2 linked regions of the Stegostoma tigrinum genome follow. The protein of the gene in region 1 interacts with the protein of each later gene in a pairwise test. Links are inferred from orthologs where the notes say so. Each region holds a gene or a part of one and is shown in the gene's direction. Other genes may lie near its edges.

What was found. The genes of interacting proteins can lie anywhere in the genome.
Region 2: the proteins of cep43 (region 1) and cep19 interact in binary tests that used the Homo sapiens proteins (3 or more experiments, as listed by UniProt). The two-hybrid records come from large-scale screens. The link is inferred for Stegostoma tigrinum from reciprocal best matches to the Homo sapiens genes CEP43 and CEP19.

What each region holds. Positions count from the first base shown.
Region 1 is NC_081362.1:27,317,662-27,325,669, reverse strand, and holds the start of cep43 (FGFR1 oncogene partner), read left to right. Parts: upstream 1-5,005; 5' UTR 5,006-5,232; coding exon 5,233-5,313; intron 5,314-8,008. UniProt on the Homo sapiens protein: Required for anchoring microtubules to the centrosomes. Required for ciliation.
Region 2 is NC_081367.1:5,361,638-5,369,480, forward strand, and holds the start of cep19 (centrosomal protein of 19 kDa), read left to right. Parts: upstream 1-4,837; 5' UTR 4,838-5,030; intron 5,031-7,843. Other genes in the region: pigx (phosphatidylinositol-glycan biosynthesis class X protein), read right to left, coding at 861-939, 4,616-4,673. UniProt on the Homo sapiens protein: Required for ciliation. Recruits the RABL2B GTPase to the ciliary base to initiate ciliation.

The sequences.
Region 1 (8,008 bases):
CTTGAAAATTCAGAAACGGCTTGGTCACAAACATACCAGGCTGTAGAGGTTAGTGTATGACAGTGTAATTGATGGTATTCCTGTACACAATTCCAGTTAATGAATAAGACATACATTTTGCACTCATGCACACTTCTTCCTCGCTCCTACATTGTAATTTAAGCCACTTTTTTTTTTAAACTCTACATATTTTCACTTCTCTTTTTCCAACTATCCCTATGGGTGTAGTGTTATTCAAGATTTGGGAATATTTACACATGCCAAGTATTTGGATAAATTTTATATCTAGGCAAGGCAAAAAAAACCTCTGTAGTAACTGAGATAATGGGAACTGCAGATGCTGGAGAATTCCAAGATAATAAAATGTGAGGCTGGATGAACACAGCAGGCCAAGCAGCATCTCAGGAGCACAAAAGCCGGGCCATCTCCAGCATATCCCTCACCTTCCTGAACCCTTCAGTCTCCATCTCAGGCAACCAGCTTGTAACTGATGTCCATTTCAAGCCCACCGACTCCCACAGCTACCTAGAATACACCTCCTCCCACCCACCCTCCTGCAAAAATTCCATCCCCTATTCCCAATTCCTCCGCCTCCGCCGCATCTGCTCCCACGATGAGACATTCCACTCCCGCACATCCCAGATGTCCAAGTTCTTTAAGGACCGCAACTTTCCCCCCACAGTGATCGAGAACGCCCTTGACCGCGTCTCCCGTATTTCCCGCAACACATCCCTCACACCCCGCCCCCGCCACAACCGCCCTAAGAGGATCCCCCTCGTTCTCACACACCACCCTGCCAACCTCCGGATACAACACATCATCCTCCGACACTTCCGCCATTTACAATCCGACCCCACCACCCAAGACATTTTCCCATCCCCTCCCGTCTGCTTTCCGGAGAGACCACACTCTCCGTGACTCCCTTGTTTGCTCCACACTGCCCTCCAACCCCACCACACCCGGCACCTTCCCCTGCAACCGCAGGAAATGCTACACTTGTCCCCACACCTCCTCCCTCCCCCCTATCCCAGGCCCCAAGATGACATTCCACATTGGCAGATGTGCAGGTGAACCTCTGTTTAATGTGGTATACTGCATCCACTGTACCCGGTGCGGCTTCCTCTACATTGGGGAAACCAAGCGGAGGCTTGGGGACCGCTTTGCAGAACACCTCCGCTCAGTTCGCAACAAACAACTGCACCTCCCAGTCGCAAACCATTTCCACTCCCCCTCCCATTCTCTAGATGACATGTCCATCATGGGCCTCCTGCACTGCCACAATGATGCCACCCGAAGGTTGCAGGAACAGCAACTCATATTCCGCCTGGGAACCCTGCAGCCTAATGGTATCAACGTGGACTTCACCAGTTTCAAAATCTCCCCTTTTCCCTACTACATCCCTAAACCAGCCCAGTTCGTCCCCTCCCCCCACTGCACCACACAACCAGCCCAGCTCTTTTCCCCCCCCGCCACCCACTGCATCCCAAAACCAGTCCAACCTGTCTCTGCCTCCCTAACCGGTTCTTCCTCTCACCCATCCCTTCCTCCCACCCCAAGCTGCACCCCCATCTACCTACTTACCTCATCCCACCTCCTTGACCTGTCCATCTTCCCTGGACTGACCTATCCCCTCCCTACCTATACTCTCTCCACCTATCTTCTTTACTCTCCATCTTCGGTCCGCCTCCCCCTCTCTCCCTATTTATTCCAGTTCCCTCTCCCCATCCCCCTCTCTAAAGGGTCTAGGCCCGAAACGTCAGCTTTTGTGCTCCTGAGATGCTGCTTGGCCTGCTGTGTTCATCCAGCCTCACATTTTATTATCTCTGTAGTAACTGGTTCCATTATGTTCCTGAAACACATTCTCCTGGCATTCAGAAAGCAACCTAATTTCACACCTTGTTTTATGATTTTATGGATAAATAATAAAATGATTAGTAGGATCAAAATATTTTGCATTAATTGTTGAATTAGCTCTTTCTACAGTAAAGTTCTGCTTTTATAATTCCAGTTTACTTACTGGCACAAAACATTGTGCATCATAATGCCCGTTGCAAGTCCAATGTTTGCTTATCTGCACGCTTCAGGGAAAATAAATTCTGAAGAAAATTTTAAACAATTTAAAAAGTATCTAAATGAATGTGGATACCTTCCTTTAAAACAATGTGTTTCTGTTCCTGAAAATATGTATGTTTGCAAGTGGACATATTTGTACATTGGTTATTGGAGTGTTTGAATGTGGTATTCATTGGTACAATTGAAACTTGTTATTTACCCTGACTAAATTAGTTATTACGTTATTAAACATATTAAGATGTTCTGCTATATTTACCAGTTTGAAGAAATGCTATTTATACATTTAATTTGGTTCCAGGTCACATTTTTCGAAATACTAATCAACACATTTGAATATGTGAAGCAGAATCTTTTTGGTTTTGCCTCCCTCCACAAATTTATTTTCAGGCTATTGCAACACAGTGTAGCTGGAAAAAGAACTGACTTAAATTCTTCTGGTCTACTACTTATCTATTACCACATGTACAATGCACCCAAGGCCCGATTAAATTATGCACTTTTGTGTAAGATTTCAATCACCTACAGTACTCTATTTGTAAGTTGAAAATAATCCCTCAATAATTTGTTTGCAAAATAAATTTAATGTCCTCAAATTTGTAGAACTCAAAGTGCAGCAGGAATTGCTATGAAATTTGCACAGCCTTGCTCTTTCCAGGGAAATATACAATTATTAAAGAAGGGATTGAGGCAAAACCTCTTATGAGGCTTTTGATATAGTTGTCAAGATACTGATTGTTTTGAACTCTTCTTGTGCTAGATAATATGAAAATTTCATTAAAAAACTACATGGTGAATACAATTACTGAGATATTTTTCACCTTGGCATCTGTGTTTGTTGACAGGATTGTGAAAAATAAATGAATCCCTGTAGTATCATGGATGACAAAGTGTACTGCTAATAAGCTGTTTCCCTGCAGCCACACTCATGTTTTAAACATATTTTCCCATTAAAAAGATAAAATAAGTTAAAATGTCTAAAATCACAGCTAGTTTTGAGGACACTATGCTACAAGTAAATTGCTCACATCTTAGTAACTGACAAGACCCTCGCACTGTATTGGAAGTCACTGGTCTAGGTATTCAGCTGGGGTATAATCAGCTATCCTCCTATCCTCCTGGCTATGAAGAGCAAGAAACAAAATAAATACCGTATGTAGGCAGTTATCATTTTTGAAGTAAAATGTGAAGAGTTTTGTAAAGATGACCTCCCAGTTGACAGAGGCTGCATCAATCAGTAGTGTGTTGGAGTAGCCTAGTCTAAAGGCATGAATGAGGGTGTCAGCAGCAGGTGAGCTGTGGTAGGGTGCTGCAATGTGTAACAAGGAAACTGTTTGAAGTGGGTCTGAAATAATCTACTTCTTTGGTACTGGCAGTTGGAGTGATTGTAATAAGGTCAGCCAGGTGGACCTCTGAATAGGAGTCCCCTGATTGGGGCTGTTTAATCTGGTACAATCAGGATCCCAGGCTGGCACAAACAGGAGTGTCACAGGTTCTGTTCATGCTGAGAAAGCTGGTTCAGTGTCAAAGGTTTTGCATATATCAATAAAGAGTGACTTGGTGATGGCATACTGGCCTCTTGTGGAATTATTTCCAATGTCTCCACTTTCAACTGTATGCAGTTGGGAGAGGTGATGATTCAGTAAATTTGGAAGTTGTCATTACTATATGCTGTGCTTTTGGGCAGTGTCTCTAAGGGGCAGTATGCACAAGGAGGACGTGGTCAGAATCTTCAGGGACATTAGAAGTGTTGAGTGGACAGATGAGCCATTGCAAGTAGTAATCTTATTTAGATAGATAAGACTGAAATTCGAAAGCAATCCCACCCAGCTCAGAACAGAGAAGCATTGAAGAAGCATCGTGTGGTTAATCACAGACTGTATGTCAAAGAGGAGGGATAGGTATTTCTGTCAGAGTTATGTAGGATGTCATCTGTAACTGATAAGAGATGTTTTGTACAATTGCAAGCATTGAAATTGGGCTTAATAAATTTTGACAAGTTAAAGCATAAGACAGGGGAGCAGAATTGGGCCACTTACTCTATTGCAGCTGCTCGACTGTTCAGTGCTGGCTGATGTTTCTGTATCCTATTCTCCTACCACCTTCCTGTAACTCTTGATCCCCTGATTAATCAAAAACCTGTCCTCTAACACACGCAATGACTTGGTCTCCACAGCCTTCTGCTGCAAAGAATTCCACACGTTTAAATCCCACAAACTACAGTGATGGAGATAGTAGGGACTGCACGTGCTGGAGAATCTGATATAACCAGGTGTAGAGCTGGATGAACACAGCAGGCCAAGCAGCAGGAAGGCTGACGTTTCGGGCCTAGACCCTTCTAGGCCCGAAACGTCAGCCTTCCTGCTCCTCGGCCTGCTGTGTTCATCCAGTTCTACACCTTGTTATCTCAGCTACAGTAATGGGTCTTGAACAACAGCCCCAGCCTCTTAGTTAAGTGGCATTACCATTATATCGCTCTCTCCCAATTCATTTTAAGAATTACTACAAAACCTGAGCTCTGATTTGAAAGGCTGGGGGCTTTTTGTTTTCGAGGAGTTGCCGAGTTATAGGCGTGTGAAACAACTGAGGATGGAATCAATAACACTAGTTGGCTAAGTGAGGACCAGGAGGAGGAATTGGCAATAGAAAGTCTCCTATGAATACAATTAAATGCACTGGAGAGGAACATCGTGGTTAAGATGAACTCTGTATAAAAATGCAGAATACATTCTAAGCCACATCCACAATTCGGTACGTTAATAGAGAAATTTGCCGTGCTTTGCAAACAAATTACGACTAATTTTAAAATAAATGGTGAGCGTTTAGGTTTTATTATATAATAGTAGGAAATAGTGGCACATTTTAAAGAAGTGTTCGGTACCTTATTGCATTCAGTGCCTGCGTCGCCCTAACCGCCGCCAACAGCGCTACTCGCGTGCTCGGTTTAATAGACCGTTACTGCTCCATTCGCGCTTTACAGTTCGTCAAACCGCCTCGAGCGTCAGCAACCTTCTTTCATTTAACACGCACGCGCCAGCGATTATTTTCAAAACATTGCACTAGACTCTATATATTGTTTTGGGGGGGGAGAGAAATAAAAAAGTTGTCAAAGTGCCGCTGTGAATAGAGCACTAGCAAAGCTTGGGTGGTTGTCTTGGTAAAATGTCGGCGGATGAGGACACAGAGCTGCGGGACTTGCTGGTGCAAACCTTGGAGAACAGCGGCGTCCTCAACAAGATCAAGGTAATGCGCCATCACCCTAGGCCGCAGGCCGTCGTCGCCATTTGTTGCGGAACCGCTGGTTTGCAGAGGCCTGAGGAGCCGGTGAAGTTTAAGTCACCGGATAACGCGTTAGTTTAATGGACGAACTTAGAGGCAGTCGACAGCCCATGGCTTTGGGGTTTTAGCTCATGTCGATAGCTCTTCAACCACAAGCAAGGTGAAGGTTTCTCATTATTTCAGATCTTAACACTTGCCTCCCCTCCCATCCTTTATCATCAAGATAAATGCCCCTTTTTTAAAACCCAGATGCTATCAGTTCTGAGGAAGGGTCATCGGACTCAAAACGTCTGCTTTCTCTCCATTGATGCTACTAGGCTTGCTGAGGTTTTCCAACAATTTTTGTTTCTGAGACCCTACCCCTCGCCCTGACTTTTTATTTAAGGTCTTTTACAGTTGCTCCATCCAACTCAGTACGTTCTCTCTACTCCTCCCCTGCACACCAAGTTCTCATCACAGAACCTTTTTAAGGCCACAACACAACATTGAGAGAAATCAAATGTGTCAATTCTTGCAAGGAAGTGAATTGAGCCCAGTAGTAGAAGAAATTTGCTGGTTTCAGTGTGCTAAATAGATTCATGCTTTTAGCCTAATTAGCTTCACTTTTATGTAAGGCAGTCATCTTTCTGACTGTCCATTTGGCTTGAAACTTGGAGTACGTGCAGACGCTACCTGAAGACCCTTGAAGCACCATTGACACTTTTTGAGATGGATCCTCTGCATCAGCTGGGAAAACAGGCACACAAGCAAAAGCATTCTTGAAGCCGCTAACAGCCTAGACTATGATCACAAAAAAACTCTGTTGGGCTGCCATGTGCTTAGGATGCCTGAAATCCAACTTCCAAAACAAATCTTCTGTCAGCGAAAGCAGTTGCATAAGAGGACAAGGTATTTCAAAGACTCCCTTAAGGTTCGTTTCCTTCAAGAAATACAATATAGATGTCAATGCATAGGAGACACTCATTTAGAAGAAACTGACTTGGAGGAAACTCGTGTGAAGGGACAGTATTCTTTGAGCACACCTATTAGCAAGAGGAAGTATGGAAAAGAAACCGGGAGAAAGAAATGCCAAGTTCTCAAGGCCCAGGATCATTTGGCAGAAATACCTGTCAAAATGTATGGTTGGAGATATGGATGTAGAATCAGGCTCATCAGTTGTACGAAGATCTGCAGAACCCATGATCATTGAAAGTGAAATTTTGTATATGGACAATCATACTTGTTAGTTAATAATTATCGAGGACAATGATACATGTGTTGTATAGAGGAAGTCCTAGATTGTGTGTGGTATAATTTTGCCATTGATCCTAAATCAATGACTGGGATAGAAGACTACTATGAAAAAACAGTGAATTTATCTGTGTCAGTGTCATCACAATAACAAAGTCTGGCATTTTTTTTCACTTGAGAAAACAGCAATAAATGATATAAAAATGGAAAATGTTGTGTAGACTTAATATATCAAGCAGCATCTATTGAGGGGGGGAAAAGAAGTTAATGTTTCAGGTCAATGACCTTGCATTAGAAATGATTTTATAGAACCAACTGAAGCAGGAGTAGGCCATTTGGCCACTAACTTACTGTGACATTTGTTAAGATTGCTATTGTAGAGTCCTTAGTTCTACTTTCCTGCATGTGCCTAAAATGCTTTCACTCATTTGTCAATCAAGGATATGACCTGAAAGTTGGAACTAGGAGCAGTAGGTAATGTGGTTGTTGCTGAGAAAGGAGATCTGGCCGTGAAAGTGATCTCTGGTAGACATCTGATTGATCATGAGAAGGGATGCAAAACAATAAAAATGGTAAAAGAGACAAATGGAACTCCCATTGGAATCATAGAATCCCTACATTGTGGAAACAGGCCCTTCCGCCCAACAAGTCCACACTGAACCTCAGTGCGTCCCAACAAGGCCCATCCCCTTATAATCTCCGAAGCTAGGCATCCCTGAACACTGGACAATTTAGCAGGGCCAATCCACCTAAACTGCACAGTGGGAGGAGACCCACGCAGACACAGGGAGAATGTGCAAATTTCACACAGACACCTGAGGTTGGAATTGAACCTGGGTCCCTGGTGCTGTGAGGCAGCGGCACTGACCATTGTGCCACCTTGCCACCCCTAAATTGGAGGGAACTTCTTTCAAGATAGGCATTCCTGGAAGAGAAGTGTCTCTATACTTAACGGTGATGCATTTTCTTTTGTTTTATTTCATCCTTCTAGAATCCATATTAGGTGTTGATGTTCATATTTGATATTCATAATTACAAGTAGAAGCTGATCCTGTTATGATGCCGCATCGAATGAGATAGACAATAAGGGGATGACTAAAATTTTGGTGAATGTGGAGAATATTAAGGAGAATGAAACTCTGGATGAATGGGTTCAAAAAGGATATCTAAAGTTTTGGACCCATGAAAGCCAGGTAATTGGTCACATGAGAGGGAAAGATGCTATAAAGATCGGTCAGTGAAACAAAATCTTGGAAAGATTTGCATCATCTTTCCTATTTGCAGGGAGACCAGGATTGAACACAGGATTTTGGAAAGAGTTTTTAGGACTAGCGGGTGTTAAGAGAGAGAGTTGGAGATCTGTATATGTATTTAAAGTGTTATAGTCCTGTTCCTGCATCCTCTTTAAATGTATACGAGTTGGGATGTC
Region 2 (7,843 bases), on another chromosome or scaffold:
CTAGTAGAATTATGTAGCCTATATAGAAGAAACTGATCAATGATTTTACCTGTACAAACACAGAACAGTAACATTCCATACACAGTATGAGTCACTATTTAATAGGTGGAATTGGGTAAGAATATTTTTCAAATTTAGGAGATGCATAGAAATTTCTTCCAAATATCTTGCTACTGAAATCTGGAAAGATCTAAAACTTCAATGAGTTGTATTCCTCAAAGTTACATAGGACAAATATATTTATCATAGTGGTTTCACTGCCTTACTATATGCACCCTGCAGATAGTTGCTACTTTTTAGTTCATTAGTTTTCACCCTCTGCTGTATGCATCTCTTGTGTTTTATTTCCTTCAACGTATTTCCAAGAGTACCAATTTTCTGAATTTTATTCTGAAATTTATTCTAGCTCCTCTTACCCCCACCGTTGCCACTGTGATAAATGCCTGTCAGATTTGATTTCATTGAGTACAGGATATAACAGAGAACAGAGTACAGGATACAATGTTACAGCTGCCGAGAACGTGCAGACAGGGAGGATCAACATTAACATTAGAGGTCTATTCAAAAGCCTGGTAACATACAGCATCTTTGTGCGCTTTAACATAATTCTAACTCGGCATTACGCACTTCTGTATAATGACAGACTTTTTCTATTTAATAATCCATATGTGCCTTTTCTTAAAGAATACATTCTCAGCCCTAAAATCTGTTACATTATTTACTAATTTGTCCAGTTAAATGAATGCTAATATGACAAAGACAAGATTTGGAAAAGCGCCCTGCTTCAACCAATTCTGCTTCCATTAGTCATCTCGAGTTAAAATAATGCAGAAATATATTTATAATCTGTCAGTTCTTACCTATGAAATCCATTCTTTGCAATATGTCTGTTCAAACTCGCTGATCGAAGCCAGGACTCAGAGTGCAAAGGATCATTACCTGCACAAACAGAAAACAGTAACATTCCACACTCAGTATGAGTCAGTATTTAATAGGTGGAATTGGGTAAGAATTTTTTTTTCAAATTTAGGAGATGCATAGAAATTTCCCATCTGTGTCCCCTTCTCCCACTAAGTCTTTTCCAGCATATTCTGGAGAAAATTTTCTTCCAAATATCATGCTACTGAAATCTGTAAAGATCTAAAAGCTTACTACTTGAATTCTAGGGCAGCTAGATGTCAAGAAAAGCTGAAGATGTGAGATTTCACATAGCATGTAAGTAGGAAATGGCAGAATGCCACTTAAAGAACTGCCATAATGACATGTCTAGGAAATCAATTCATCAAACTATTCCTTAAAATAGGCACAGAATAAAGAGAAAGCAGGAAAGGAGGAAGCATTTGCATTTATATCATGTCTTTGATGACCTCAGAGCATGCCAATGCAATTATCAACCAAAGAAGTACTTTCTTTTGAAGTATCGGCATACTCAGTGGGGAAGACTTCTCACTCAGCAGGCTTTGAGTTCATGTCCCATTCCAGAAAATCAAGCTGAAAAAACTAGGGTAATGTTCCAATTTGGTACAAAAAGAGTGCTGAACTGTCAGAAATACTGTGTTTCAGCTGAGATGCTGAACCAAGACCCTGCCTGCTCTCACAAATGAATATTAATGGTGCCATAACAATTTCCAAACAAAAGCAGCTATCTTTGCGAATATAGACCCCTCAAAAAATTGTGGTCAACATCATATTGTTCTTTATGGAATTTTGTTGGGTTCAAACTGATTACACGTTTACTATTTAACATCAGTGATTGCACTTCAAATTAACATGCTTAGCTGTAAAGTACTTTGAGATGTCCTGGGACAAGATGTGATATAAATACAAGTTTTTCTTTCTTCAATCACAATTGTAATATTGAAACATTAATGTGAGAATAATAGACCTCATTTATAACTAATTATACGGAAGATACCTGAAATTTGGCCAACAGTCCGGCACACAGAAAAACATACCTTTCCAAATTGATCACCAACTTCTGACAAAATTGAGTTCTTTGAACAAGTAATGGAGAGAGTTGGTAAGAGTAATTGAATCTTATATGAACTTCCAAAAGGCATGTGATAGAAGTTCTAAATAATAGAATTGTTAGTAAAACTAAAGTCTGGACATGTACAGTTGGCTAAGGACGGTATACAGTGATGTTCCCCAGTTGTTCTCAGAATCAGGATCACACTTTTTTTAAACCCTGTAGCTGAACATACAAGGCATGATTTAAAAGTCTGCAATGACAAAATATTTCAAAATATAAACAGTGAGGAGGATCATGGAAGAACTCAGAAAGATGTTGTGGGCAAAAACATGGCAGATGAAATTTAACAAATGTGAGGTGATGCATTTTAAAATAACAGATGACAGAAATTAACTACAACAATCTTAACTATTGTGCAGGAACAGAAAGGCCTGAGAAAGGCAAATGTGAGCACTGTGTTCCCCAACTTGAAAGAAAAAAATGCTTTCTCTTAAATGAGTGGCACAAGGGCCCAACATTCTCTGAACTTGAAGCATTAGCACTGCATGTTCCCTAAACCTAGGAGTATTAGGGCTGTGTGTTCCCAGAACCTAGTAGGAGTAGCAGTAGCACTAGCACTGAGTGTTTTCTGAACTTGAGAATATTAGTGCTGCGAGTTCTTGTAACTGGTGTCAGTGGTTTGTCACTGAATATTGTAATGCATTAAATTGAGGTCAAGATCATTTTTCTTCAAGGGCTAGATTTTGATTTTCAGGAGCTCCTTTTCTCATTTTATCAGCTCTACAGTGATGCAGCCATACATTGTACTAGATGGTACCATTTTAATATGGTGAATTCTTTTCAGATTGCCTTCTTTAAATAAGGTAGCATTGTGATGCCACATTTGTGGGTTACAAGTCCTAGCACCTGGCTGATCAAATCAAATGTTGTGAGGAGGCATGCCACTACCAGATACCTCAAAAAAAAAACCGTTCTCTTTGTATGCCCCACATATGGCCTTCCATTACAAAAAAAGAAAGGCATCATTCATTTCAAAGGCTGCTCCCAACAATTTTCAGATCAAAATGGAATAAAACATGGAGCTTAACTCCTACCGTTTTATTCATTTTCTCCGTACCAGTGACTTATGCTTTCTCTGCTGACATGGAAGGACTGCTGCTCCATACATGACTTGATGGAAAATGTCAGCTGCCCATCAATGAAGATGACAATTTTGAGCTGTGGACTTCATCTCCACAAATGACACATGGTTTCAGAAGCTCCAGAGTCAATGTCAGCCTTGAAAACGAAGTGTCAGCAGACGATTGCCTTCATTGGTCAGTACCAATGAGTATTAGAGGTCGGAAGGCATGTTATGGCTTCACAGGACATTAGTTAAGCCACTTTTAGAATACTGCACACAATTCTTGTCAACCTCCTGTAGGAAGGATGTTGTTAACCTTGAGAGGATGCAGAAAGTATTTATAAGGATGTTGCCAGGACTGGAGGGAGATGTTTAATTGGCTGGAGATTTCTCTTCCTGGAATATCAGAGGTTGAGGGGTGACCTTGTAGAGGTTTATAAAGTCAAGAGAGATATGGATAGGGTGAATAGCCAAGGCCTTTTCCCCAAGAGTATGGGGAAACTACATGGTATAGCTTTAAAGTGAGATGGGGGAAGATTTAAAACAACCTGAGGGGTAACTTTTTCATGCAGAGGGTGATGCATTATTGGATCAAGCTACCAGAGCACATGGTCGAGGCACGTATAAACACAACATTTAAAAGGCATCTGGATGGGTATATGAATAGGAAGGAACAAGGGATATAGGCCAAATGCTGACAAAGGAGTCCAGGTCAGATTGGGATGTCTAGGCTGTCTTGTTGGTGCCAAAGAGTTGGTTTCTATAGATCATCCCACCTTCATAAGGGCCAAAACTGAAACAAAAACAGTAAGTGCTGGAAATACTAAGGATGTCTGACAACACCTGCAGAAAGAAAGACAGACACTCCACATTTCAAGTTAATGACGATTCATCTTTTAACCTTTCATTGGACAAGAATGTCAACCTGTTCCCCCCCCCCCAGTAATGCTGCCAAACCTGCTGTGTGTATTTCCAGCAATTTCTGTTTTTGCTGCAGATTTCCAACATATGCAGTTTTAAATGCCACAACATTCAAAGTTATTGGCGTAGCGTTGGAAAGTGTAGATTTGGTCCAGCTTTGGCGTTACAGGCGTGATGGGCCGAAGGGCCTGGTCTGTGCTGCACGATTCTACTGGGCTTTTCGCTGAGGGACAAGTTTAATTTTGTGGCAGACTTAACCTTTCCAGAAACAGTTTACTATTGACGAGGAGGCCAGCACACGACTTCACTTCAGTTGACCCAAGTTCTGAGTTGCATTTCCAGCCATTTCTCAGAGATGAGGCGGAGGCAGACACTGTTATTCCCCCCAGCTCGGAGCGTTGGGGGGGGGGGGGGGGGGGGCGTTGCTCAAAGAGGCGTTAGCCTTCCCTGACAACGCCGTCAGACATCGCCGAAAACTGGACGGCGCCCACGACCTGCCACTCAACTGAGAGTAAATCAGGCTCTTTCTCGGTCTCTGCTCATAAACAGCCCCCCGCCGGCTCTCCGAGACCCACAGGCCACCCTATAATTACTCTTACATGTGACAGCAGCGACACACAGATACTCAACAACGAGCACAGCCCAATACCCATCCATAACCGGCCTCTCCCCGCGCCAAGCCCGACACTGGCTTTTAAATTTAGCCCCGGGGGGGGGGGGTGGGGGTCCGGCCTAGGACGCAGGCCGCAGCTGTCCTCGGCACTGCCTGAGCGCACAGCCAGTTAATCCTTTCGGTTCACCGCCTCTCCTTGACGGTGGGACAGCGGGACAAGGTGGACTAACGGCTATGTCGTTGGTCCGAGTGATTCTTCAGGTCAAAATGGGTGAACGGTGGCAGTAAATTATAGTTCAAAGTCAGGCAGGAGATCAATCAGTCGCAGAAGGGGTCTTTTTAATCGGCTGGGTTGCCATGGGCATCAAGAGGTTGTGAAGGCCGAGTTTAGCCGCACTCAGGTTTGTTTATAAATTTTAAAAAAGCAAAATTGAAATATAACTAATGATTAATGAGAGTTTTATATATCTCATTACAGATCATTGCTGAGGGAGGGCCTTTGCGGGCTGTAAAGTAGACCAGTAGTTGATGTTTCCATTTAGTCAATGACTCCAGATATGAAACTATGTTAGTGATTACTGAAAGTTTTACTTGGAACTGATAGCATTTAGATTTATATCAGTGATTAGTTTTACCAATATTAGCGGGCGTTTTATTACTCCCTTATAGCAGTGTAAAGAACATAAGAACCAGGAACAGGAGTGGATCATTTAGCCCCTTTAATCTTTTCCATTGGATCATAGCTTACCTACATCCTTCGTGGTAGCGTCTCATAGCACTCAAATTTTCAAAAATCTACTTCCTCTTTAAATACATTCTGGGTAGTAGTCTCCACAACTCTCTGGAGTTCAGAATTCCTTCACATCTGTTTTGAATGAGTCTCATCTTATTCTGTAATCATGTTCCCCAGTTAGAGATTCTGCCAGTGAAAGTAAAATTGTATCAATCACTTATTCTCGTTTTTGGATTCCACCTTTTGTAAAGTTCTGTCTGGACTTTCTTTTCGTACAAAATGCTGTATAAACATCAATATTTTAAAATTAATAAGTATATTATGATTTGGTCTCGGACAGAAATTATTTAGTTTTGCAAGAGTCTTTTAGTCAGTGGTCAAACGTGACATTTTTGTTTAAACAAAGATTAACTATACAAGTCAAGATTCTGCCTCAAGAACTATCTCCTTGATCTTCGATCACTTCAGAATCGCGCTTTAAATTACCTTATTTACATACTTCTATTAACTTGTATTCTACAATAAAGGCACTGCTTAGTGCTGTTTCACTAGAGAAGGAAATATTAGTAGAGATGATGAAGCTGTGGTTTAGCAGGAAATTCCAGAACCTGGGGCCTGGGCGAACGGGGTGTTTGGAGACGGTTGTAGATCTAAAGGAGGTTAGAGGTGAGGAAGTGCGGAGGTGTGAAGTGATTTAAACGTGAGGATGGCAATTTTAAAATCATGACAACATAGAAAATAAAGTTTTCACCTGTGGTAGGATTCTGAACTAGATAACATTAATATCTGTAATTGGGGGTCAGTTTAGCAAGTCGACTGGCCAGTTGGTTTGCGAAGCAGTGTCATGCTGACAGCATGGGTTCAATAGGTTACCATGAAGGACTGTCCTCAACCTCTTCCCCTTGCCTGATGTACAGTGGCCCTCAGGTTAAATAACTACCAGTTGTCTCTCTCTAATGAGAGCAGCCCTATTATCTGGTAAGACAATGGTGCCACAACAACAATAATCTGTGATTTAGACCGTGTACCCAGTTACAATATGGAGTAGATTAGGTGAATAGTATAGAAATATTTATGGGAAATATAGAAAGATACATCTGAGAGAAAGAAACTGAAGACTGATGGGGTTAGGTGGAGATAGGTAGGTAGAAGGAAGCTAGTAATGAACATGAACATTGACCAAAGAACTGAAAGGACTGTTCCTGCACTTTTCTTTCTATCTGTGTAATTCTGAATTGTTGTGGGATGGGAGCAAATCTACATCAGAGCAGCAAGAGTTGATGACTGAATGGGACCTGATGCAGAATAAGATAGCCAGATTTTGAATGAGTTGACATTTAGTGGTGATGAAGAGGAGGGTGGCCAAGAAAATACTGAAGTAGTCAGGTTTGGTGGTGACATGCTTTCAACAGCAAGTGCAAACACTGCAGAGGCAGATGATGTTATTGTGTTGGAAAGGTTAGGGAAAGAGAATCAGTTCACATTATACAAAATACAGAAGGTGCAAACAGTCTAGCTGAAGCTGAGACTGTGATTGGGAATGGGAAGGGCAATACAGGACAGTGTGTCATGGGGACCATAGGTAATGACATCGGTCTGCCCAATAACTGCAGCCTTTCAATTCAGCTTAGCAGTGACAGTGAGGTTGAATTAATTTACTCCATCACTATCTGTTCTGAGCTAGTCTGGCTGCTTCCATCATATGTACTCCTTTCAGTGATGAATCACTCTTGGCATTGTCTATCCACCATTAATATTAAGAATTATGATGAGAATTAACACCATCATTAAGATAATATTAGAATTATAATAGTGATTATTAAGTATTAACTTGTCTTTTGATGAAAAAGACACATTCTTTTGAAGATTTTCACCTTTCACTCAATTTGCAAGAATACTAATTTAGAAGGGAATAGTATTTTAAACTGAATGAGTAGAGTACTGAATGCTTGATATGATGTTGCCATAGATAATGTACTAGTTAAATGATGACTAACAGTTAATTTGCCAAGCTTTGTATAAATTTAAACCAATCAGGTTGACACTGATTATTCAAGACATTATCCGAGGAAGAGCTAGAAAATATCTGTCCTCTATTTTGTTTAATTGAAGTTTGTGCAATATCTGTACGTTTTGTCTGCAAATAACAGGTACCTGTGTTTAACATTTTCTAGTGCATGAAAGTGCTCCACTCTGCGAGACCAACTCACGACCTTATATTGTTGATTGTCAGTTAATTCTTAGAACACTCAGTATTGTTTAGCAAATGTTGCCCAGTTACGGGATCAGATTGTCAAATGGAAGAATATCTCCTCAAGACGGAAGAACATATCTTAAATCAAAGAGACAAAACTTCTGCTAGCTATGAAAGCCTGCACTTGCTCCCTTCCAGTTTTCGAACTCTAATCATGGAAATGACTATACAGCTAGTTTCAGACAAAAGAGCACCTGTCCTCAGCCTCTTGTATCAAGATCATTAGG